Linked DNA regions of Diceros bicornis minor. Each later gene encodes a partner of the first gene's protein in a complex. Links are inferred from orthologs where the notes say so. Each region holds a gene or a part of one and is shown on either strand. Other genes may lie near its edges.

Region 1 (8,525 bases):
CCCAAAGCCATGTGCCCGTCTCCCCTCTCTGCTCTACTTGTTGTCTCTGTTTACATACTCTTCTCACTTCTTTTTTTAATAGTAAAAAAATTTTAATTTTAAAATAATACTAGAAAGTTGCGAAAATAGCTCAAATAACTTTCTTTTTCCTAAATCATTTCAGAATAAGCTGCTGACACAATGCCTCATGTATTCCCTAATACTTTAATGCAGGCATTAGCAAACTATGGCCTGTAGCCAAATCTGGCCTGCCACCTGTTTCCTACAGCCCCCAAGGTAAGAATGCCTTTTACATTTTTAAATAGCGGAAAGGGGCCGGCCCGGTTGGCGCAGGCGGTTAAGTGCGCGCGCTCCGCTGTGGCGGCCCGGGGTTCACTGGTTCAGATCTCAGGTGCGCACCGATGCACCACTTGTCAAGCCATGCTGTGGCGGCGTCCCATATACAGTGGAGGAAGATGGGCACGGATGTTAGCTCAGGGCCAGTCTTCCCCAGCAAAAAGAGGAGGATTGGCAGATGTTAGCTCAGGGCTGATCTTCCTCGCCAAAAAAAAAAAAAAAAAAAAAAAAGTTGAAAAAAAATCAAAAGAATAATATTTCATGATACATGAAAATTAATTATATGTAATTCAAATTTCAGTGTCTATAAAAACAGCTTTATCGGAACCCAGCCATGCTCATCCACTTATATTGTCTGGCTGCTTTCACACTGTCACAGCAGAAATGAGTAGTTGCAACTGAGCCCATATGGCCCACAAAGCCTATAATATTTACTATATTTTAGTAAATATATAGGCCCTTAATAGAAAAAGTTTGCCAACTGCTGCTTTAGTGCGTGTGACTCCTACAAACAAGGACATTCTCCTACAGAACCACAATACAACCATCAAAATCAGAAAATTAGTATTGACACATTACTACCACCTAATCCACAGACTCCCAGTGAACTTTCACGAACTGTTCCAATAATGTCCTGCACAGTAAAGGACCCAATCTAGAATCACATATTTGCATTTAGTTGTCATGTCTTGAGTCTCTTTCAAACTGGAACAGTTCCTCAAGTCTTCCCTTGACTTTTATGACTTGACACTTTTGAAGATTACAGGCTACTGAGCTTGTAGAATGTCCCTTAATTTGAGTTTGTCTGATGTTGCCTCATGACGAGATTCAGGTTATGCATTTTTGGCAGGAATATCCCAGAAGTGATGCTGTGTTCTTTCCAGTGCATCTCCCATCAGGTGGTACACGATTTTAATTTGTCCTATTAGTGGTAACGCTAACTTAATCACCTGATTATGGTGGTGTCTACCAGGCTTTTCCATTATAGTTACTTGTTTTCTCTTTGTAATTAATAAGTATTTCATGGGTTTTCTCCACTTCAATTATTGACATTCTATTCAAAGTAAGAGTTCAAATGACACTTCCTTCAAGCTTTCCTAGATCTGCAATTTCTCACTCTCCTATGCCACTATAACCTTTTGCACCTTTATCAGCATTTAATTCTGTCTTGAATGTCAGTTAACTGTACTAAATACCCTCACCAACAACTCTAGAGCTTACAAGAAATAAACAGCAGACCACAGCATGAGTTAAGGGTTAAGGCTCTGAACCTGGAAGATCTAGATTTGAATCCTAACTTTGTCACTTAATAACTATGTAACTTCAGGTAAGTTATGTACCTAATAACTATGTAACTTCATCTCTCCAAACCTGTTTCCTCAACTGGAAAATGGAGTGAATAGTCCCCATTGCATAAAAGGTTATGAGAATTAAACAAAATAGTCTGTGTAAAGAATTTATACAATCTCAGGCTCAGTAAACATTAGTTAGCATTATTTTTTGGCCATTCTTGAATTCACGAACGCTGAGTTCCTTGTGCCCACCTGCCAATGCCCCAGACAGCACCATGCATAAGAAGGAACTAGATAAATGTTAACCGAATGGACTGTTTAATTTTGAGATACTGATATTCCTTGTACTAGGCTAATCCCTCCATTTCCCTCAATGCCACCTGTTGAGTGCTGGTTGTAGATAAAATAGAGAATTAAGAGCTCCAAGGACAAGTAATTAAATGTAAATTATAATGGAAACTTTCATACACATCGAGATTCTTTTTACTTCCAAAGAGCTATCACATCTATGCTCATTTCATTCTCCCAAGACTCCCACGTAGTGATTGCAGAAATTTTTATAGAAGGCTCTTCATGGAACAAGCCAAGCTCATTTCTGCTGCTGGGCCATTGCACTTGCTATTCTCTTTGGAAATGATCTTCTCTTGGATATTTATACCTTGTTCCCTCATTTCACTCAGGTCTCTACTAAAATGTCACCTGCTCTGAGAAACCTCCTTTGTCACTCTAAAAAGTCCCCTATACACACACTCTCCAATCCCCACTTTCACTGTTTTATTATTCTTCATAACATTTATCCGTAGCTGACATATTCATGTGTTTACTGTCATCCCCCCAACTACAATTTAAGGAAGGACTTTGTTTTGTTCACTTGGAACAGTGCCTAGCACAAAACAGGACCTCAATTAGTATGTGTTAAACGCATGAATGACTCCAACAAGGCACAGAGAAGACAGCTGATTTGTCCACAGTTGCATAAAACTAACGACTTGCGGTACCAAACCTCACTGCTGCTTCCCGCTATAACGCAGGCTCTCAACGGAATACAGAATAAGGACAGAGGGAGCTTGGTAGAGAAAGGGTGAAGGCGGAACAGATGGAAAAGGGAGTGAGAGGGGACTGGACAGTGAGAGCACGACCCCTGCCCAGGAAAGGGGTTTTACGAATGAATGATATCGAGGGAACCGCGGAATTGGGGTGCGTGTGTGTGTGGGGGGGGGTCCTTTCTTTCCCTTTCCCGCAGAACGCCTCCATTTACCCATCTGTAAATTGAAAGAATCAGATAGCATATAACGTCTCTTTCAGATCGGACATTATTTAATTTCCCATCCCACTTCCCATGCGGTTGACCCGCGCCAGCTCACCTCCCGACCGCTTAGCCAAAAGCTCCAAGTCTGCCACCGGAGACCGCGCTTCCGCCCCACGCCGCGGCAATGTGTGCGCCCGCCGTCCAGAAGGACCCCGCAGAGGCCGCCGTCGCGTTTCTGCCTCGGAGGACAGCCCTCTGCCTGAGGACCAGCTCGGAAGAATGCCGGCCGCGGACACAGGAACAGGCGAGGTGGAGTTGTGGGCCCCCAAACCAAGGAGTGGGCTGCTCCCAAGAGAGTGAGGGCTGAGCAGGCCTGAATCTGATCAGGCGCCTTGGGACCACACTGAAGGGGGCCTTCGGGTCGATCACGTGAGCAGGCTGTTGGAGCAGTTGCTGGGCAACCACAGCTGCTGGGCGTGGTCTACACTGAGCTGTCCTGTTCTCGCGTATCTGGGGATCTTCAAAGAAAGCAAGGGAATCAAGGCCAGGGCTGGTGGAGTGAAGGTCAGAGGGTCGGAAGAGTTAGTTCTATTTATTCAATGACTGGGGAGGGCTCAGAACTGGACAGGAGCCAGGACACTTGAGTTCAGTTCCTGGCCAGCCCAGCGCCCTTCTTGGTGTTCAGCTTACCCACTTTGGGGTGGAGGGAAAGGGCTATGGGGTTGCTTGCAGACCTCCTGCCTCCCTGCCCTAGGGCCGTTGATGATGACTCCGCCACGAAATCTAGCTCAAAGCACCGTGAATCTGAGGTTCAAAGAGGTCTCACAGCAAGTAAATGCCAGAGCCAAGACTAGAACACATATACAGGATCTCCCTGTAGAAAGGATCAGTCAGCCTCAGATACGTGCAGGCTGCAGAAGTACAGGGGCAGAACTAAAGAGGTTGCTCAAGTACCTAGGGACTTGTGCTGGAACCCTGGGCTGGACAGAGGGATGTGGGGACAGGGATCATTAAGCCCCTTCCTCTGCCTAACTTCTACTTGATTTCCTGCTTAGTCATTGCATCTGGTTTGGTTGCAATGTATCTTTCCCAGATAAAGACGGTTGAAATTTTATCCCAGGGCTCAAGAGCGGCTAGCAATAGTTCTGCTTTTGTGTGAGGTTCTCTATCACAACAACTTGCTATAGAATGAACCCATGTGGAAGAGTTAGTGGACTGAATTCTGAGATCCAAATACCTCCTCAGCCAAGCATCAAAATTAAAGTATTTTTAGAGGCAGAGATGAAAATTAAAGCAAGGCTCCAATCTGAAAGTCAGGACTCTCTATTTTCAGTGACAGCAAGTCTTAAGCAAGTCCTCACTGTGCAACTCAGCTCCCCTCTGTAGAGAACTAGATATTTGTAACACTCCCCAAGATAAGTGACAAGATATCCAGAGTGGTTTTGGATCATTTTGTGGGCTGGCAAAGACTTCATATGTACCCTCTTCCCCCTGATATTGACCCTTCTCTGATGTCCCTTTGCACAGGCCATGGAAAGAAATGACATCATCAACTTCAAGGCGTTAGAAAAAGAGCTGCAGGCTGCACTCACTGCTGATGAGAAGTACAAACGGGAGAATGCTGCCAAGTTACGGGCAGTGGAACAGAGGGTGGCTTCCTATGAGGAGTTCAGGTTGGCCTAATGCTGTTTTTCTCAGGCCCTCCTGTTATGGTGAACAGTAGTGGATAAGAGCATGTGATTTGGTGTCAGACAATTCTGGGCTCAGTCCTGGCCCTGCCTTCTGCTACCTGTGTGATCTTATGCAAGTTATTTAACCTCTCTGAGCCTCTATTTCCTCATCTGTAAAAGAGAGTAATCATTTTTATGATTAAATAAGTTATTACATGTAAGATTGTGAGCACAATGTCTGGCACATGGGAAGTGCTCAAAAGCTGTCAACTATTGTTGCTGGTGTTATTACAGTCATTCTTTGCTGAACAATGGAGATATGTTTTGAGAAATGCGTCATTAGGCTATTTCATCATTGTGCGAGCATTACAGAATGTACTTACACAAACCTAGGTGGTATAGCCTACTACACATCTAGGCTATATGGTATTAATCTTATGGGATCACCATTGTGTACGTGGTCCGTCGTTGAATGAAACGTCATTATGCGGCACATTATGATTGTATTGTTATTATTGTTGTCATATTGGTGTGCCAACAGGTTCAGCCTATATCACGCAAAGTCCAGCCACCTCCCATACACAGACAGCATTAGGTCCATCCTCTGATCTGTGTCTTTTGCTCATAGGGGTATTGTCCTTGCATCACATCTGAAGCCACTAGAGCAGAAGGACAAGATAGGAGGAAAGAGGACTGTGCCCTGGAACTGTCACACTACTCAGGGAAGGACTTCCCAGGACGAGACCACTGAAATCTCCCAGGTAGGTGAGGCCCAGCCTTTCAGCCCAGCTGGATTCTCTGCCCTAAACCTCCAATCCTGTCTTCTTACAACACATACTTTTTCCTTATTTCTCATGTTAAGCCAACAGAGGCAGGTTTCTGCCTCCAATCCCAGAAAGAAAAGCAACTAGTGGATGGTGAGGCTGAGTTAGACTGGGCAGAACAAGTCAGAAAGGTGGGCGAGGCAGCTCCCTTCCATCAGTCCTTTGACTTGCATTCCCAGATCAGATTTGGGTTGCTCTGCCTCTGGGTTATATGGTGTATAGTATAAAGATTCTGTGGCAGTGTTGGGAAGGAGACCCAGCCTGTCAGATTCTTAACACTCACCTTGAGTTCCTTTCTCTCTTCCTGAGGTTTCTGATCATCCCCTACGCCCTGTTCCAAGTAAACCCTCACTTACTCTCCTAGAGCAGGGCTATGTCTGCATTCATCAGTAGGAAAATCCTGGTACAACTGAGAATCTCAAATCATGGCCTGGGTTCCTTGGGACCCTCCTGCCCTGTCCCCTTCCCCGTTCCTTCCTCTGAAAATGAGGGACCACCTCTGAAAAACAGGGACCACAGCCTTCCCAGTGCTCAGGGAGCAGTACCAGAGCTAAGATGGAAACCTAGAGGCTCCCCTCACTCTCACTGTTGCGGAACAGCTGGAAGAGCTCAGGACTCCTTTTCCTTCCTTTGTGATCCAGAACATACTCCTCCAGCCTGAGACCTCGGCAGACTTCTACCGTGATTGGCGGCGATACTTGCGGAGTGGGCCAGAGCGCTACCAGGCCCTGCTGCAGCTCGGGGGTCCAAAGCTGGCCCGCCTCTTCCAGACGGATGTGGGGTTTGGACTTCTAGGGGAGCTGCTGGTGGCACTGGCCGATCACGTGAGGCCGGCAGACCGGTCAGTGGTGCTGGGGATCCTGCGCAGCCTGGCCAGCACCGGGCGCTTCACCCTGAACCTGAGCCTGCTGAGCCACGTGCAAAGAGAGAGCTGCAGAGGCTTGTTTCAGAAGCTGCAGGCCATGGGCGCCCCCAGACCCATGAAGGAAGGGCTCAGCCAGAGGGAGTGGAGTGTGGAGGAGCTGCCTGCTGGGCTCCAGGAGGAGGAGAGGCTCCTCCAAGAGCTGCTAGGGCTGTACCAGATGGATTAATAGGACCAGTTACCTTCAGAGGCCCCCAGTGCTCATTGGAGGACTTTTTTGGTTGTTGTCTTGGGAGCTCTGCAGGACTGTAATGAGAAACCCACACCTAATTCCCTTCTCAACTTGGAATTTTCAGTGCAAAAGCAGGAATCGAATCTTCCCTTCTTCTCCAGCCCTGCGGTGGCTCAATATTCTGAAGTGTGTAGATCCACAGGATGGTCAAGGGCCCAAGAAGTTGAAAGTGTTTTGCTTCTCACCCTTACTGTCTGCCAAGCCTCTAGCCCTCAGCCCTGAGAGATGGGTGTGTGCCCAACCAAATGCTGGCTACACCCGTTACAGCCTCCACTCAAAAAAACGGGAAAAAGGAAAATCATTAATCTTCCATGGTAAACAAATACTGATCTCCATAGCTCTTAACAAGAATCTTTATAACTTAAAACCAATGAATGGACATTTAATCCACAAATGATCAAAGGGTACCCCATTTGAGGTGCAGTATTTTTTCCCCAGGGGCTGAGTTCCTTTGCAGGCTGGGCCTGGGAAAGCCCCAAGCCATTAGCTCAGGTCTGGCCAGCTTCCCAGGCTTCTTCAGGTGGCCAGATGTGCAGGCCGGCGGGTTTCCTTCAACTCCCAGATTAACCAAAGGGAAGACCTTCCCACTAGGTAGGCAGGGCAGGGCCTGGAGCAGAGAGGCCGAGATTTCCTGTCCTAGCACCTGGGCCCTTGCTTCTCATTCCGGTTTCCCCTGACCCATTCTTGGGTGAGTGCCAGTGTTCTAGAAAGGGGAGAGAGGGCCAGGTTCTAGAATGGCTTTCCCTCCAGATCATGCCTGGAACATCAGAAGGGTGTCTTGTATATCAGCTGGGAATAAATTGCCTTGCTTTTGGCTGCTTGCTTTACAGATTGTTACTTCTTTTCCTGGCTATTTAACTCTTTCCTCATATAGATGCCTCCTCCCAGCAGTGATTTCTAGAAGCCCCAAAGACCTTTAGTGCCTGGTTTTGCCTGCCCTCTCTGACCCTTCCCTCCTGCAGGCATGAACCTGGCCCACACCACTGTGCTCCTGTGGACGTGGGGGAGTCTCCAGGCCTTTGAAATTGTGGAGAAGGAGAACATTTTTCAGAGGACCTCTTGCCCGGCTTTCCTGATGTTTGACAATGCAGCCTACCTGGCCGACATGAGCTTCGAGCTTCCCTGCCACTGCAAGCCAGAGGAGGTGTCTGCTGTCGTCTGGTACTACCAAAAGCACCTAGGTAGCGGCCACACCAAAGTGCTGACAGACTTCGATGGGCGGGTGCTGACAGAGGAAGCCCAGGTGCGTGTGGGCAGTGACATGCTGGTCCGCTTCAGCATCCGCATGTTCAGCCTGTTGGTTTTCCGGGCCCAGCCTGAGGACTCTGGCTTGTATTTCTGTGGCACCCGCAAGGGGGACTACTTTTACGCTTACGATGTGGACATCCAGAGCAGTGAGGGAATGGTGGCCACTTTCAAGGACCAGGGCCAGGAGCCCTTTGAAGACGAGTACCATGGGAGCCTCCATGTCTTCACCACCTTCTGGGAGTGGACCCCCTGTGACCGGTGCGGGGTGCGCGGGGAGCAGTGGCGCCTTGGCCTCTGCTACCTGCAGAGCCCAGACCTCTCCCCACGCTACCGCAAGACACTGCCTGACGTGGTGTCCTGTGGTTCGCGGGCTGTGCCAAGTAAGCTTCAGGCCAAGGCCAGGCACCACACACCTGAGCTGCTGGTTCGGAGCTGTATGGTGCCCTGCGAGAAGAACAAGGTGGTCCGGGAGGGCATAATGGCCATCTTCAACTATGTGTCCAAAGTGGGCAGCCGGCCCTGGGTGCCCAAGGTGCCCATTCAGTTCCACCAGCAGAGGCTGGGCCACGGACTCATCATCTCCTGTCCTGGGGCCCGGCCAGAGCATGCTGTGGCCTGGGACAAGGACCACCAGTTCCTCTACCGCACACAGTACCTGAAGGGCGTCAACAGGTCCATGAGGGTGTTCATTGACCATGGCAACCATCTCCACATCCGCTTTACCCAGCTGAGTGACCGGGGCATCTACTATT
Region 2 (7,757 bases), on another chromosome or scaffold:
GAAGCAAGGAAATAGGGTGGCACCTGGAAGGGTTCGTGGAATTTTTAAGACTGCATTTAATAAAGCATGCTGTCAAAAATTATTTTTAAGGTAGGAAATTCATTTTTATGCCCATTCTCAGATGAAAAAGTAAAATTCAAAAAAGTTAAGAAACTGGCTTAACTTATTTAACATCACAGAGCTAGACAGTGACAGAGTCTAGATTCAAATTTAGGTCTGATTCCAGAGCTTATGATCTTTCCACACTTCTCTGTTGCCTCTGATTTATAGCATAATTAAGAACTAGAAAAATATAAAAGTTGTGTTTTCTGGTGAAATTATAAAAAGAACGTAACACATACTTTCATATATTGATACAGTAAAGAGGAATAGGGTAAAACTAGCAGGTTATAACAGATAGCTTGGTTTTGCAGACCAGGAACTATCTAATTCTATGCTTTATCACCACAGAATAACGCACACCAAATTCACCCCAGTACACGCAATATTAAAAAGAGTGGAAATTTATATGACTGCTCTATAGGTGCTCCTATACCTACCTTGCTTTTTTTGAGGTCAAAGCTTTATTTTCGTTCAGCTTTCTTCCACCACTCTCTATAACAAAATATACACGTATTTTAGTGGGTCATTTCCACACATTTCACACATAACATAATCATATAGCATTTAACAATTAGTTAATAAGTTCATTTTTCAACCTCCTACCAACAGACCAACCTATACGAAAATTTTCAAAATTCCTCAGTTAATAGCCAGGTTCTTAAGACACTACTTGAAAAGAAAACAACTGTTTATTGGGGAAACAATAAAAAATTGGATAAAATGCAATCATTTTACTTCTTAGACTCAAAGTAGGACTTTAGGAGTGGGTCTACATTTAATGCACTAATGTAAAATCTAGATGCCATTACTTTGGTGCCATAGACCTTGAAAAAGTGTTTCTTTTCCTTCCCTTTGAAAACATCTTCATTGTACTGAATGATTATGAAGGTGAAAATATTTAAATGATTTCTTCAAGAATACAAAAATCAGGTGAGAAGAGGGGGAATTAAATACCAACTCCAATTAAGTTGAATCAAATCAATTACTTTGATATACTCAAGGCTTGAAAATCATTTAATTATTTTGCTATGTCCTATTTACCAAATTAGGAACCCCAATATGTAACTGAGAGAACTAAATAGAAGATATTAAATTGTTGCGGGATCCAGTATTCTTAATGTTTAATACATGAAATATTTTCTACATATAAAAACATTTCATTTTCCAAATGATGTAAAAACTAAAACATTATTCACAAGAAGTATTCAACTCAATTTCTATGTTCTAAAAGGAAAAAATACCTGTGGTATTCCTTGCACCATCTTTCCATGTATCTGGAGTGATAACAGTACCCAGTTTCTTTTCACCTGTTACAAGACAGTAAAAGTAAGGGGAATTAGTATTTACTATCTAATAAATACATTACATTGTGCCTAAAGTTCACAATTGTATCAGCAATCATATTATAGTAGAAGCCTGTTAATGCTGGGGTCAGGGCCAATGAACCAAGACTTAAGATATTAACTGTGGGCAATGGATGACGGACTCTCAGTAAAATCTGTAGGATAATAGTATGGTTTATAATAGGCTTCTTATGTACATGTATACTTTATATAAATCTGACAAATCTATTCATTTCATAAATATTTACTAAGCACCTATGATCTATAAATCATTGCACAAACTACAGAGAAAAATAAAATGATAAATGAGATGAAGCTCTAGATTTCAAGGAGCTTATAGTACACTGATTTCTCTAACAGTAGTCCTTAAGAGGTACATGAACAAGATGAAACTGCACACAAACCTTTTGTATGTCCATTTCTTTTACAGACTCTGGTAAGAGTCTATAGCTTTCATCAGCTTCTCTAGCTTTCATCAGATTCTCAAAGGGCTCAGAGAACCAAAAAAAAGTTAAGAACCATTCAACTAAAATACAAGCTAGAAAATAAAAAGTATAATAATTGAGAGCTAAAATAAATTGAGAGCTAAAGTACTAGGAGAAATTCCACGGACGAAGAAATAACCTTGTCTAGGGAAATCCAGGAAAACTTTGTGCGGAAGGCAACTGAGAGGGTTTGTGGCAATGTGACTGTGAAGAAAGAGGAGGAAAGAGGATGAAGGCAAACTAGATAAAGGACACAGCCTGAGGAAAGGCAGGGAAAGCTCAGAATACACAAGGGCATGCAAAATAGTTTGGTTTGGCCAAAGTGTGAAGAGGGTAATAGTTAGTGACAATTAAGTTGGAAAGATAAGCTGAGGCCTTATGGTGGAGGGTCATCTTGAATGCCAGGCTCCAAATACAGAAACCCCAAATTATTCTCTGCACACTGAGAATTTATTAAAGTAATCTGACCATGGTCATCCTTTTACCTAATATAAGAACTGTTATGCAAACTCATGGATGTCTGTGCTCAAAGTTTTATCTACTAGGGAGATATAAACAAAATGGATCATGTTAGACAGTAACTGGATCATGTTAATGAGACAGCAATGAGGACAAGAGTTCTTGAAACCTTGTGACAGAAGAGCCAGATATGTCTAGTGTGAGGAAAAAGAGACTTGGGGATATGACAGCTGTTTTTAACATATAAACGGTTTGTGAGGTAAAAAAAATCATCAGATATTTTCTAGAAATCTCAAGGGTTGGCATTAGAATCACTGGACAGCAACTATAGGGAGGAAAGACTTTTCTAAAAGTCAGTGAAGTATACACAGACTCATTTCAAGGTGGTGAGACTCTCCTGGCCCCAGCCTCAATACTGTAGATATTCATGCAGAGGACAATTAAGCCAATGTATGGAATACTGACTTACGATTGTTAGATAAAATACAGATGCTCAGTTAACTTTAAATTTCAGATAAAAAAAATGAATACTTTTTTCTGTAAAGAATGTCCTAAAAGTCCTCGGGGACAAAGCACTTGCAGTACTAAGGAGCAGCAGAGCCAAGTCTCAAATATTGTACGGGACACATTTATACTAAAGATTATTCGTTGTTTACTTGAAACCCAAATTTAACTGGGCGTCTGGTATTTTTTTGCTAAATCTGTAGATGCTGTAGAAGTCAATTTTAAGACCCATTCCCACCTGAGGGTCTGTGAGGCAAGAGAGCCAGTCAGAAGCTGTTTGGGATGAGATCTGGGGTTGCTGGAAAGCAACGGAAATAGACCAAGAGGTGCAAACTGAGACCAACCTATATGGTCGTTGGGGAGGGGCAAGAATGGTCAAACGGCAGAGTAGGAAGACAGGCTAGAATCAGAGTGCTGTGGCCGCTGGCAAAACAAAGAAAGGGCCAAGTTCCCGGGGAACTCCAGTTAGGTTCTTCCAGCCTCCTTCTCCCGCAGAAGCCACCCCTTAACTCACATTTTTCGCACACCATCCTTCCGCGACGGTTCCCTTAGCCGCAGAACGAGCAGCGGGTTGAAAACATCAACAGCACTGCCAGGGAAGAATTCCCCTTCCGGGTTACGGCAACCCACTTCCGGATCCCCCGCCCTCCGCCCCGCCTATCCTACGCCTGGAAAGCCGCGGGAGGAATAAACGCGGGCGGAAGGCGGGGCTGCTTCCTTTGCCCGCCCCTCCACTTCTGCGATTGGCTGTGCGGCCTTGGGTCTCCCCGCCCCACAGGCCTGCGCCTGCGCGAAGGTCAGGGCGGCGAGTCGCACCTGATGGTGGGAGGTAGTAGGTCTCGCTTCTCTTCCGCAGGTGGGCGAGTTAGGTAAGCCCAGTCTAAGGCTCGCGGCTCGCGAGCTTCCCGGGGGTGAAAGCAGCCCCCGCCAACTGTCCTAGTGGCCCCGAGCCTCTGCCCCGTTCCGCCCGCGCCCCCGGGCGCTCGAGCGCCACTCTTCCGGCGTGCCCCAGGGGCTGCCCTGATGGACCGGCCGTCTTTGGGATTTGACCTTCTGTGTCTGTCCCTCCGTTTCTCCTGGGCTCCATGCCCGTTCTCTTTGATTATGCCTCTCAGCTCGTCCCCTGCTGTCCACACTCCTGCCGGCTGAGGCTTGGGTAGAGTCCCGAGCTACACAGTTTGAGGTGGGGCTGCAGATAAAGGTCCCGCGATTCCCGCGAAGGCTCCCCTGGGAGCAGCTCAGAGGGCCTCTTCTCCCGCCACAATGCCTGTGGACCCGGGCCAGGTCAGAACGCGGACGCCGGGACTGAGGCCGCCTCCGGGGCGTCCCCGTGGGCTCGCCAGGGCCTAACACAGTGCTGGCTTCTCAGGAAGGGCAAACACTTGACCCCCTCTCCGTTCGTTCGTTCATTCATTCGGCAAGCATTTGAGTTTGGGTACTGCTCACTGTATTAGATCCAAATCCTCTGATGTCAATTGGGATTCGGAGCGTGGCCCAGAAAAACGTCCTAAGGGGTGTCTGTTGAGACAATGTCTTCCGGATCCCCCTTCCCACCCCTCAATCAGCCAAGGATAGGACCTGTGAGAAACTTTTCCTTTCTCCCTTGCTATTCATTCTCTTCTCGACCCCTAGTGTGTATCTTTTGTCAGAGAGACTAGGTTTTGAAATGGATTTGGCACTCGGGAGCTTGGGACCTTGACTTGTCTCCTAACCTGTCTTAGCCTGTTTCCTTATCAGTAAAATATTTGCCTTTGAAGATTGTAGTGTGAATTAAATGAGATCTGTTAGAATAAGGCCTGGACTTGCCTTTTTGCGCTAGTGGGCGCCCCCTCTGTGTGTGTGTATAAAATATATGTTTTTTTCCCTAGCGTGTTCACCAGAATGTGAACTATTACTTTAAATTAATAAGGTCCTTAACATTATTCAACACTATGTATAAGCTGTCTGTTAGGTAATGAATAATTAAATATATATAGAAAATACGTGTTTTATGTATAGAGAGAAAGTACATTTTTTTCTCTTTTTCCATTCTTGCTCCTTTTTTTTTTTGGTGAGGAGGATTAGCCCTGGGCTAACATCTGCGCCCATCTTCCTCCAGCAGTGCATAAGTCCGGGCCGTGAACCTTGGGCCACTGAAGCGGAGTTCTGGAACTTAGCCACTGTGCCACCAGGCCGGCCCCCATTCTTGCTCTACATTTGATTGGAGTATAGCACCTGTAACAGACACTGTCATTTTGGTATTTCTGGAGCACTGGGGTCCCTTAGTTTAGCATAATGTTCTTTGAACTCTCTTGATTACACCGGCCGTCATTTGAGTATTTGAGTTTGCAGTTGGTGTCACTTGGCATTTGCTAGAAGATGTGAACTCCTGTCATGTGAGACAAAGGTCTACAATGGTGAAAAAAACAAACATGCCAACAATTTAGCCAAAGTGTATTCATGGGATTTTTAGAATGCATAGGTTATATTTCCAGCTGGGGGAGGTCATTAATCCATGCAGTTAGTTTTCACCTCTGTTATTTTGGCAAAAAAAAAAAAAAAAAAAGAAATTGAATTGCTTAATTGGTCCTAGCACATGACTCTGTTGCAGAAATCAGTCGCAAATATTTAAGAACTTAGTAAATTTGTCTTTTTTAGGCTCTGAGAGCTATTTGTACCATATTAGTCTACATGTGCATTTACGCATATGCATCTTATTGTGAAAGCAATACCTTGTTGCCCGTAGAAAATTGACTTTGGTTCAAGGCTTATTTTTAGGCGTTAGAGCATTTAGGATGATGGAAAAAGTTATTGCATATGCTTTTTTCTTAATTTGTTTTTCATTAGATAGCCACTCAAGAAAACACCATGAAAGATACTGATATCAAGAGACTACTGTATACCCATCTTTTATGCATATTTTCAATTATCCTAAGCATCTTCATTCCATCATTGTTCTTGGAGAACTTCTCAATATTGGAAACACACTTGACATGGTTGTGCATCTGTTCTGTTTGTGTAACTGCTGTCAATCTAGTATTATATTTAGTGGTGAAACCAAATGCGTCCTCTAGAAGAAGTTCATTATCATACAAGGTAAGGCTTATTTCTTGATAACTGATTTTTAGATGGAGGTAGCGTTTCTTTTAATGGAAGAATAAAGTATTAGTCAAGTACTCATTGGGTTATTTACAGTGAGTAAAGAGAACCTGATTTCTTTGTCAAATCAGTAGCCTATTTGTTGGAATGCTGCTCACAATGTTTAATAGATCCTTGCCGTGCATTAGTTGTGAAATTAGGATGTCTTTTTTTTTTTGTGTGAGGGAGATCAGCCCTGAGCTAACATCCATGCCAATCCTCCTCCTTTTTGCTGAGGAAGACTGGCCCTGGGCTAACATCTGTGCCCATCTTCCTCCACTGTATGTGGGACACCACCACAGCATGGCCTGACAAGCGGTGCGTTGGTGCGCGCCCGGGATCCGAACCCAGGCCTCCAGCAGCGGAGCGTGCGCACCTAACTGCTACGCCACGTGGCTGGCCCCAAAATTAGGATGTCTTAAGTGGATATTATAGCTTTGTGAACCCATATAATCAAGTTTTATGTGATCATTGGAGATAAATACATATAGCAGTCATAACTTTAAACCTTATTTTATAAGACATTTCAGTTTATTTTCATTTATTTTTTGCATTTCTGAAAGACACTTAATGAGGTTTTCAGAAATTAGAAAATAAGACTCTATGATAGCTCTTGTTTCAATATGGCCTTCCTTAACTAAACAGTAAAGTTTTCAGATAATAGAATCTGTTTTCTGAAATATTCACCACAGTGTAACACTTGACTATTACTTTAAATTAATAAAGTCCTCACTTAACATTATTCAATACTATGTAAGCCCTCTATGAGGTAATTTTAAATACGTTTACTGCCCTATGATTAAAAAAGCTTATTGCATGTTTTATAATTAGATCTTCTTAATCTCCAAGTCAAGTAGGTCCCACACACTAATTTACAAACATGTAAGTCTTTTCATGTGGATCATCTAGTAACATGAACATGATTTGGAGAATTATTTAGTATTGTGCTTTTTTTTGGTGTAGTTTTCCTAGGGATTTTGTTTTAAAATGAAAAAAATTATTATAGTCATTATTTTCTGCAAATATTTCATGTGTGGTCACGTGTATGTGATCCCAGCACTCTGTTATTGGTAAATATTTTATAAATACTGATTAACAACATAGCTCAATACATACCATGGAAACAAATGCATTTTGACTCTAGTGTTGGTTGGGTGGGTGGAATATGGGGGTGATGCTTGCTTTGTAAGGCTGTGTTGAGGGCTGTGTACCTGATGGGACATGTGATCTGACTGCAGGGTACCCAAATCCAAAGAACATTCGACTGTATCACACATTATGGGAATAAGTTGTGTTTGTAGGTAAAATGGAGGCATTTGCTGTTCTTTAGGCATTCTCTTGAGTCTTTAAATTATTCATTTCTTTTTTAGGTAACCAGATTTTTGAAATGCTGTATCTATTTTCTTATGTCTTGTTTCTCCTTTCATATAATTTTTGTTCTCTATGGAGCACCACTAATAGAGTAAGTCTGAAATTTTTATCTGAAGGCAATTTTTATCTGTGGCAATTATGTTTTAAAACACTCATTTACTAGATAATGTGCTAATTCTATTGGTGATTAGACGAAAACCATGGTGTGTTTAATTAATGGATCAAGTAAGGATGCTGACACATTGCCCTTCCTTAGCAGTGTTATTCTTTTAAAAAACAGTGGAATAACTTAATTCATTAAATTCTCCTATTACCTAGCCTTATGTCACCCACTTGCATGTGAGGAGGAGGTAGATGAGAAACTCTACTATACCAA
Region 3 (8,446 bases), on another chromosome or scaffold:
AGCATAGTTATCTGAAACCAGAATGTTTTAAACTGAAATCCGTGTTTTACTCAGTTTTTTAAAAACTAATGTTTAGGTAGGGAAAAAACAAAACCCACACAACATCCTACTATTCCACTGAGTAGCATTCACTTATTGGTTTCTGCAAAGACTATTAACTGAAATATCATTCGATGATACTATTGAAATACTTTGTGCTGCAGTTAATCCATTTCAACTATCCAAAGGCTACAGAAAACAAGGTTCACAGCACTTCTCAAATCTCAACGATTTAACTCCTTCCTCCTTCCCTGCTGCGCCCTCCTCTCTCGGAAAACACCGTACCTGCTCGGTTTTCAGAACTTAACATTGAGGGGTGGGGGAGGGGAAGGTTGGGGGTGTGGGGGTGGGAGAGTTCTCTAATTTTTGGACTTGCTATCCCATTCTGCCTGAGTAAAACAAACCCCTGTAGTAAAAGAACCTTATGAATAGTGATGAAAATCGAGGACCAATTTCCTTCTGCTCGCTTCTCTCTATCTCTATAAACTTCACTACGGCCCTCAATACACCCATTTCTACGCCAGAGCAGCCCTACCTGTGCCCAGACGCCCCCTGCCCAACTCGAACTGCTCTATGAGCTTGGAGCCGGGCCACTGCTCCCCTCCCAGGCTAAAGACTGAGGAACCAAGATGCCCATCTCCCGCCGCGCAGACTGCAGAGGCCTGAGGGTTCAGGCCGGGTCAGCGAGGGGCGGCGGGGGCAGGGGAGCAAGCCGCAGGGACGGCAGCTCCGCGCCGGCTGGTGGGGCTGGCTCCGGGGAGACGCCGGGAGAGAGGGACGCCGGGGGCGGGGACAAGGCCCGGGCTACCTGCGGGCCGCCGCCCTCACCGCCCCAGTAGTCGCAACGGCTGCAAGCGACCGCCGCGCTCTGTGAACCCTCGCGGCCGCCTAGGGAGCCCCGGCCTGCGCCTGTCCGCGGTCACGGCCCCTTCACTACCTCTGACCGCCCGGCAAGTAGCAGCAGGTGATGCGACGACTGGGCAGCCGAGACGCGCAGGCTGGTCGCCTCCCACCCCTCCCAGGGGCGCCAGGAGCCCGGACCAAAGAAGTGGGAAGAGGCGTGCGAGACAACGCGACACAGAAGGGGGACAGGGAGGGGGAGAACCCTCCGGCTCTCCGGAGGGGCTGGAGAAAGGGAGGCGAGGACGCAGGCGGCGCGACAGCACGCGGTGGGGACGGTCGGGACGCTCGCGTACCTTCCTCACTCCCGGCTGAGGGTCCAACGCGAGCCAGCAGATCGCCTCACATCCGGGTATCAAGAGACACTCAGCCGCTTCTGCCGCGACCGCCGCCTCTCCCGCGGCGCAGAAACGCCGAACTTCCGGCGACGACGGCGACGCCTCGCCGGTCAGATGGGAGTTACCTGCGACCGTCTTGGGCGCGCTTGCGCAACGTTCCTCTTCAGCCCTAACCGGCTCAGCTGACGTACCCAGAAGACGAAGATGGCCGCCACGCTCGCTGCGTGTCACTCCGTTTTTCACCCCGGCCGGGACGGCTGGGCGTCGGGGAACAGGGAGCCTGCGTCCATCCTCGGCGCAGGCGCGGTGGGAGGCCTCGCGTGCGCTCACCGCGGGTGGGCTGCTCGCGGGGAAGCGGCGGCGCCCCCTGGCGGCGGCCTCTTGCTCTTCCCGCGGTCGTCTCATGGAATAATAACACCCACGCCCCCAGCGGTGGTGGTTTGTCGTGGAAATTCGTCGCCCCCGCTTCTTCTGTTGGTTGCGGGTACTGCTCTTCTGCGACCTCTAGGTTACATACCTTTAATCTTCGACATGGACCAATGTAACGAAAAAAGGAGATAACTGACCCTCTCTCTCCTTCCGCGGCACTGCACTCCCTCGCTTCCAAAAAATGCAGGACTTCACCGTCTCCGTGCACACTTTCCTCCTTGTGCACCAAAGCACAAGCGTCGACAAGAACTTGTATAATGTTCCACTAGATTTAGTCATGGCCGGTATTCAGATAAAGCTTTGGCTCTTCGAAGCCTCTAAAGATAGAATCCAGCGTTCTGTCACTAGGATCGTGGTTGCCACACTGCTTTTGAACGCTTTCTGTGCTACTCCTTCCTTTTTTGCAGATATATGAGGATGGATAAACGCTACTCTTGCCTTTGAGAATCTAAAGAGAGGTGATCATAGGTAGGTTCTTCCCTTCCTGACCTCTTTTTTTGAAGCCAGGTACAACCAAAATGTGCTCTGAGAAGCCTGATGTTTTTCTGACATTTTCCACAAAACTTTATTGAACTGCTTGTTACTTTAGTCTGGGGAGATTCCATGGTTTAAAAAACAAAATAGGTGAGGCCATTACCCACATCACCGTAGGTTGTGTTGCTTAGCAAAAGCCTGTCTACTGCCTCCCCCACCTCTAGTTCCTAATATAGGTATATTCTTTTTTTTTTTTTTTTTTTTCTGTGAGGAAGATCAGCCCTGAGCTAACATCCATGCTAATCCTGCTCTTTTTGCTGAGGAAGACCAGCTCTGAGCTAACATCTATTGCCAATCCTCCTCCTTTTTTTTTTTCCCTCCAAAGCCCCAGTAGAGAGTTGTATGTCATAGTTGCACATCCTTCTAGTTGCTGTATGTGGGATGCGGCCTCAGCATGGCGGGAGAAGCGGTCCGTCCGTACACTCCCGGGATCCCAACCCAGGCTGCCAGTAGCGGAGCGCGTGTACTTAACAGCTAAGCCACGCGGTATATTATATATATATAAGCCCTATAGGTATATTCTTTAATGACATATGCCAAATGTCTTAAATTGGGAAAAAAGTCAGGAGTAGACTGCTGACCTGATTGAAGCTGGTTATCTACCAGAGCATCGGACTTATATCTTCTTTCACCTTTAGATTGTCAGACAACTGGTGTAATTTCTTTCCATGTGTAAACCACTTTATCTTCAGTAACTTAAATTCTGGCATACACACACACAAACCATATTTACAAGTTTCCATTCCCACAAAATAGGCCTCTGCTTCTGAGTGATCTGTTCCCCTATATTTGTTTTGTGGCCACGATCCAGAGCATAGCAATCCTTACAAGTCTCACACCATATTAAATATATATAATAAATATAAAATATATATAAAACATAAATATAATTATTTATTTAATTTTAATTTAAATTGGCACATTTAGGCATTGTTTTTAATCCAGGGGCTCATTAATATCATCATGAGTTTTTTTTTTTTTAAAAGTCTCTCCTAAGACTGGTTTTTCTCTTGGTTCTAGGTGAGTTCCCAAACTGCAGAGGCTACTACCTCTCCATTCACATCCAAAAGGGAAGAGTATTCCCTGCGAAGGTCTGATTGGATCAGCTTACATCCCAAGCCCACTGTGGACAAGTAGTGGAATGTAATGAGTGACAGTTAAGGGTAGAGTCAGCTTCCTTAGGACCACATGGATCACCAGGACACTATTAGGAACTGTTGGGAAGAGAAGAGGATACATATTGAGAAGACAACGCACAAATGTCAATTACAGTCTTGCTACCCAAATTGTGGTCCATGGACTCGGGGCATCTTCATCAACTAAAGTCTTGTTAGAAATGCAGAATTTCGGACCCCACACCAACTGAATCAGAATTTTCATTCTAAAGTTTCCTCCAGGTGATTCCTATGCATATTAAAATATGATGAGCATTGCCTTACAATACCCAAGACTTCTGATGATCAGAGGTGAAGTCCAGGCTGGAGATACAAATTAAAGCTGTGGTTTTGGAGATCACCTAGGCTAAAGACCAAAGTATCCATAAGGAGACTACACCCAGGGAAAGCCCCAAAGCACTCCAACATGTGATGGCTCAGTAGAGGATGAGGCAGCTAAGGAGACCTAGAAAGAGTAGCTAGTAGGATAAGAATAAAACCAGGTGTGCTTGGCGTCCTGGAAGCCAAGAGAGGAGGGTGTTCAAAAGGGGAGTGTTTGTGTTGAATGCTTCTGAGATATTGAGTAAGATGAAGATAGATGTTTGTCTTGGAGGTTTTGATAACTATTAGACAAGCAATTTCAGTGTAGTTTGAAGACTGAATTGGAGATGATAAAATAAGTGTAGACAGCTCATTCAAGAACTTTTTCTGTGATCGAAGTCTGGCAGTAGCTGGAGCTGCAGCAAAGGAGAACTTTGTTTTGTTTCTAAGATAAATTTGTTTGCTGATGGAAAAAATTCAGTAGAGAAGGAGAAATTGATGATTCAAGTTAGAAGGGGATAACTGAAGGAGTAAAATTCTTGAGAAAATGAGAGATGGGATCCAGGCTATAATGAAAAAGAATTTACCTTTGAAAGAAGCAACAATGCTTCCACCCTTGCGATAGGAAAGAAAGCAGAAGGATGGCTTCTGTTTTCTTAAAAAAGTATGAAACATTAGCAGAGAGTGATTTGGGAGATGGCCTGTAAAAGGTTTCAGAAGGAGGAAAGAAAGAAGATATGAACTAATTTGTGAGATTATTATAGAAGCATAACACAGTCTCTGAGTAGTACCTCTTTGAGGTTTGTGGTCAGAATTTAAGGTAAAAATAATCAGCTAAATCGTGTGATTTTCTTCAGGTACATTAAGTAATGCTGAGGTTCCCGGTGTTGGAGCAGAATTAGCATAATCCTTTGGGCTTCTCTCAGAATTTCCCTTCGTTCAGGGATATATTTAGTGCTGCATAACACATGGCGCCCTGTAGTGGCGAAGTGCGACGGCGACAGGCCTACTAATTGGATTTAATCTCCTCAAATCTCCCTCTTGCGGGAAATTTCCTTTTAGACTAGTCCTAACGCCCTCAGCAGTCGCAAGGTACACCTCCAGCCGCCAGAGTGCGCTGTGGCGACCCTCGCGCCGGAAGTGAGTGCGGCCCAGCCGGCCTCGGCGTTTCCGCCGTGCGTAAGCAGTGCTCAGCGCGCTCTTTGCGTCGGAGCCCCGGCAGTAGGCGTTTCCGGCCATTCATACTCCCAGTCCGTTGGCGCTTGGTTGTGGCCTTGCGTGCACTCTCGGATCGAAAGGGCGACGGCGCCGCTAGCATGAAGCTTGTGAGGTGAGGAGGTGACCAAGCGGGATGGGAGCTGTGAACGGACGGTTTGGGCCGGGAGCCGGGCTGCCCCAGTTCCGGGAGGCGCGAAAGCCGCGTGCGCGCGCGGCCTGCTGACGGCCTCCGGCGCCCGCCGCTCCCGCCCCATCTAGGCCGCGGGCGCTCGCGCGTGGGTTTCGGACTGAATCGCGCGGGGATCCCGCGTGTCTTCCAAGAAGTAGACGTAAGGCCGAGACGTTTCTTCTCACCTAGTGTCTTAGAGGCCTTGAAGGTGCAGCGCCAGGCTTACAAACTCGTAGTTTCGGTTCCTTACCGATTTTTATATCGAGTACAACTCGTGTTCTAGTCTAGGTTACTTTTCTGGCTCCTTTCAGCTCCCAGAACCGGCAAATATAGCTATGTCCACGCTCCCTGAGAACGTGGGAGACAAAGAAAAGGAAAATTATATGCTCCTGCGAAAGTAGTTTAAGTTGATCCGCTTTTCGTGATGAAACTTACGTCGCCCTTAAAAAGAGTACTTAGAAGTTGCGGGAGTTTATCTGGAAATACCGAAACCCATTTCCGAAATGTTTTAAAATCGGGGTTGGACTTCTGACTTCATAAGTTGGTCTTTTTCCAGCTTTATTGAGATATACTGGAATTTTTTTCAGAAGGTAGAGCCCCTGCCTTGTTGGAACTTTATGTTTTGTGATGAAGACAGACAAGTAGATAGTTTCTAGTATGTTTGAAATAACATATAAAACCGTCAATATTTTATTCAGGGTGGACTTTGTAGAGAAGGCATTTAAGGTTAATTTTTAGTCCATTTTTGTTTGAGCTAGAACTTTTGGAGAAAAAGTCTCAGAATTTAAAGTACATTTTCTCGATACCTGCCAGTTTGAATGTGTTTATAGTTTCATATATTTATAATTTGATATATTTTGAATCATGCAGTATGCCTGCTTTTTGTGTAAAATTTCTTTTACTCAGCATATTTTTTTTGAGATTCGTCCACATTGTGACGTGTATCGCTAATTTATTCCTTTTTATTAGTGAATAGTAGTCCATTGTGCATTTAAGAGTTACGTATGTTGTGTAAAACTGTTTTGAACATTCTTGTGTAAGTTTTGTGTTTTTTTCCTTCATTTCTCTTGGGTAAATACTTAGGAGTGGAGTTGCTGGATCACAGCATAGGTAATCGTTTAGTTTCATGAGAAACTACCAGACCATTTTCCAAGGCGGTACCATTTTACACTCCCGCCAGCAGTGTATTAGAATTCCACTTGCTCCACATCGTCACCAGCATTTGTTGTCATCAATCTGTTTAGCCATTTTAGTCCTTGTATAGTGGTGTCTCATGGTGTTAATTAACAGTTTTCTAATGATTAATGATATTGAGCACTTTTTCACCTGCTTATTGGCCATTTGTATGTCTTTGTGAAGTGTCTTGTTTTGTGTTGTTTCTTTTTATTGTTGAGTTGTAGGAATTCTTTATGTATCCTCTGTCAGATATAATTTCTCTCAGTTTGTGGTTTGTTTGCTCATTTCCTTAGTAGGTAATGTCTTTTGGTGAGCAAAAGTTTATTTTGAGGAAGTCTTGATTTACCAGCTTTTGGTTTTATGGTTCTTACTCTCTATGTACTGCCAAAGAAACCTTTGCCTACTCTCAAACCGTGAAGATTTCTCCTGTTTTTCTCTAAAAGCTTTATAATTTTAACTTTTATGTTTAGGTGTGATCCATCTTGAGTTAATTTTGGTAAGTGGTGTGAGTTAGAGGTCCAGGTTCATTTTTTCTATATGAATTTTTAATTATTCCATGTTGTTATGGATTTCATCATTTGTTGAACAGGCTTTCCTTTGCCTGTTGGACTGCTTTGGCACTTTTGTAGAAAATCAACTAAATAAATGTAGATTTATTTCCGGACTCTATTTTGTTTCGTTGATCTATTTGTTGTTCCTGTGTCTTGGTTACTATAACTTTAACCTATATACTACTCTAGCCATCTAATTTGTCTTCCTAGAGATTGTCCTAGAGATAGAAGGTTGGTAACAATTAGTATTGATAAGGATTTGCATAATGGATTTGTAATAGCAAAATATATATATGTGGCCATGGAAATATCTTCAGTATAAACTGCTAAATGAGAGTACAAGTCATAGAAGTCGTTAAAGTATGGTCCAATTTATGTAAAAACAAAGTTTATGCATATGCTTATAAACGCATGTAAAAATGTAGTAGAAGAATAGCCCTGCATACAAAGAGGGAGTTAAAAAGGGAGACTTTTACTTTTCTGTATTTAGACATGTACAATAAGTGTGTAATCTTTTACTACCAATTATAATTTCCTGATTTCAATTTTGTGGCTTATAATAACTTTAAGATCTGTATGTCTGGATTGAAGGTTAAGCTATATAATGGTTTTTGTTAGTGCCATCAAGTCAATCCCGACTCCTAGTGACCCTGTATATACAGTGAAGTGGAACCCTGTTCCATCTTGTTACGCCATCCTCTCACCTTCCGGCGCTATATCGGGCAATGCTCCACTGCTATTGGTAGGGTTTTCATGGCCACTTTTTGGAAAGTGGGTGGCCGGGTCTTTCTTCCTAGTCAGTCTTAGTCTGGAAGCTACACTGAAACCTGTCCACCACGAGTGACCCTACTGATACTTGAAATACTTGTAGCGTAGCTTTCAGCATCACAGCAGCACGCAGGCGCCACAGTATGACAACTGACTGACAGATGGTGTAGTTCTCCAGCCAGCAAACAAACCCAGGCCATGGCAGTGAGAGCACTGAATCTTAAACGCTAGACTACCAGTATAATGGTTTAGAGAATCAGAAATATCCAAATGGCAGTTTCTCTTATTATTATGCTCCTTCATAAATGTTGAGGGTATAATTCAGGGAAAGCTGAAATTGTTATGCAGATTATTAATAAGAATTGTTACAGATAACATCTCTAGCAGATTTTCAACAGCTGGAAATTTCACCCTTTTGACTTAAAACATGATTTTAAAGTGTTAAAAGTGAAAATTTATCATTTTATTCCTAGCAGATTTTCAACAGCTGGAAATTTCACCCTTTTGACTTAATAAACATGATTTTAAAGTGTTAAAAGTGAAAATTTATCATTTTATTCCTACTGTCTTCATAGATTTTTGATGAAATTGAGTCACGAAACTGTAACCATTGAATTAAAGAATGGAACACAGGTCCATGGAACAATCACAGGTATGGAGGTTGGACTGCTTTATAACGCTTTTTTTTTTTTTTTTTTTTAATCTTTTGCACCTGCAGGTCAGAGTTCTTTTTTGGTTGCTTAATGAACATTATTGTCATATAGATCTCATTGTTTTTGTCTGAATTATTTCATTGACCTTCTTACTTAAACCTCACCTTAAGTACTTATGTTACGACCAAACTATATG

Evidence for each region.
Region 2: EFTUD2 (region 1) and CRIPT share a complex: the UniProt entries of both Homo sapiens proteins name them as parts of the minor spliceosome. The link is inferred for Diceros bicornis minor from reciprocal best matches to the Homo sapiens genes EFTUD2 and CRIPT.
Region 3: EFTUD2 (region 1) and SNRPD1 share a complex: the UniProt entries of both Homo sapiens proteins name them as parts of the minor spliceosome. The link is inferred for Diceros bicornis minor from reciprocal best matches to the Homo sapiens genes EFTUD2 and SNRPD1.

The regions. Positions count from the first base shown.
Region 1 is NC_080757.1:43,343,665-43,352,189, forward strand, and holds the start of EFTUD2 (116 kDa U5 small nuclear ribonucleoprotein component), read right to left. Parts: upstream 3,193-8,525; 5' UTR 2,993-3,192; intron 1-2,992. Other genes in the region: CCDC103 (coiled-coil domain-containing protein 103), read left to right, coding at 4,408-4,550, 5,176-5,308, 6,013-6,462; Ig-like V-type domain-containing protein FAM187A, read left to right, coding at 7,490-8,525. UniProt on the Homo sapiens protein: Required for pre-mRNA splicing as component of the spliceosome, including pre-catalytic, catalytic and post-catalytic spliceosomal complexes. Component of the U5 snRNP and the U4/U6-U5 tri-snRNP complex, a building block of the spliceosome.
Region 2 is NC_080751.1:38,646,918-38,654,674, forward strand, and holds the start of CRIPT (cysteine-rich PDZ-binding protein), read right to left. Parts: upstream 3,511-7,757; 5' UTR 3,424-3,510; coding exon 3,408-3,423; intron 1,410-3,407; coding exon 1,344-1,409; intron 595-1,343; coding exon 540-594; intron 1-539. Other genes in the region: PIGF (phosphatidylinositol-glycan biosynthesis class F protein), read left to right, coding at 4,157-4,177, 5,720-5,968, 7,381-7,472. UniProt on the Homo sapiens protein: As a component of the minor spliceosome, involved in the splicing of U12-type introns in pre-mRNAs. Involved in the cytoskeletal anchoring of DLG4 in excitatory synapses.
Region 3 is NC_080755.1:13,551,989-13,560,434, reverse strand, and holds the start of SNRPD1 (small nuclear ribonucleoprotein Sm D1), read left to right. Parts: upstream 1-4,936; 5' UTR 4,937-5,031; coding exon 5,032-5,045; intron 5,046-8,172; coding exon 8,173-8,249; intron 8,250-8,446. UniProt on the Homo sapiens protein: Plays a role in pre-mRNA splicing as a core component of the spliceosomal U1, U2, U4 and U5 small nuclear ribonucleoproteins (snRNPs), the building blocks of the spliceosome.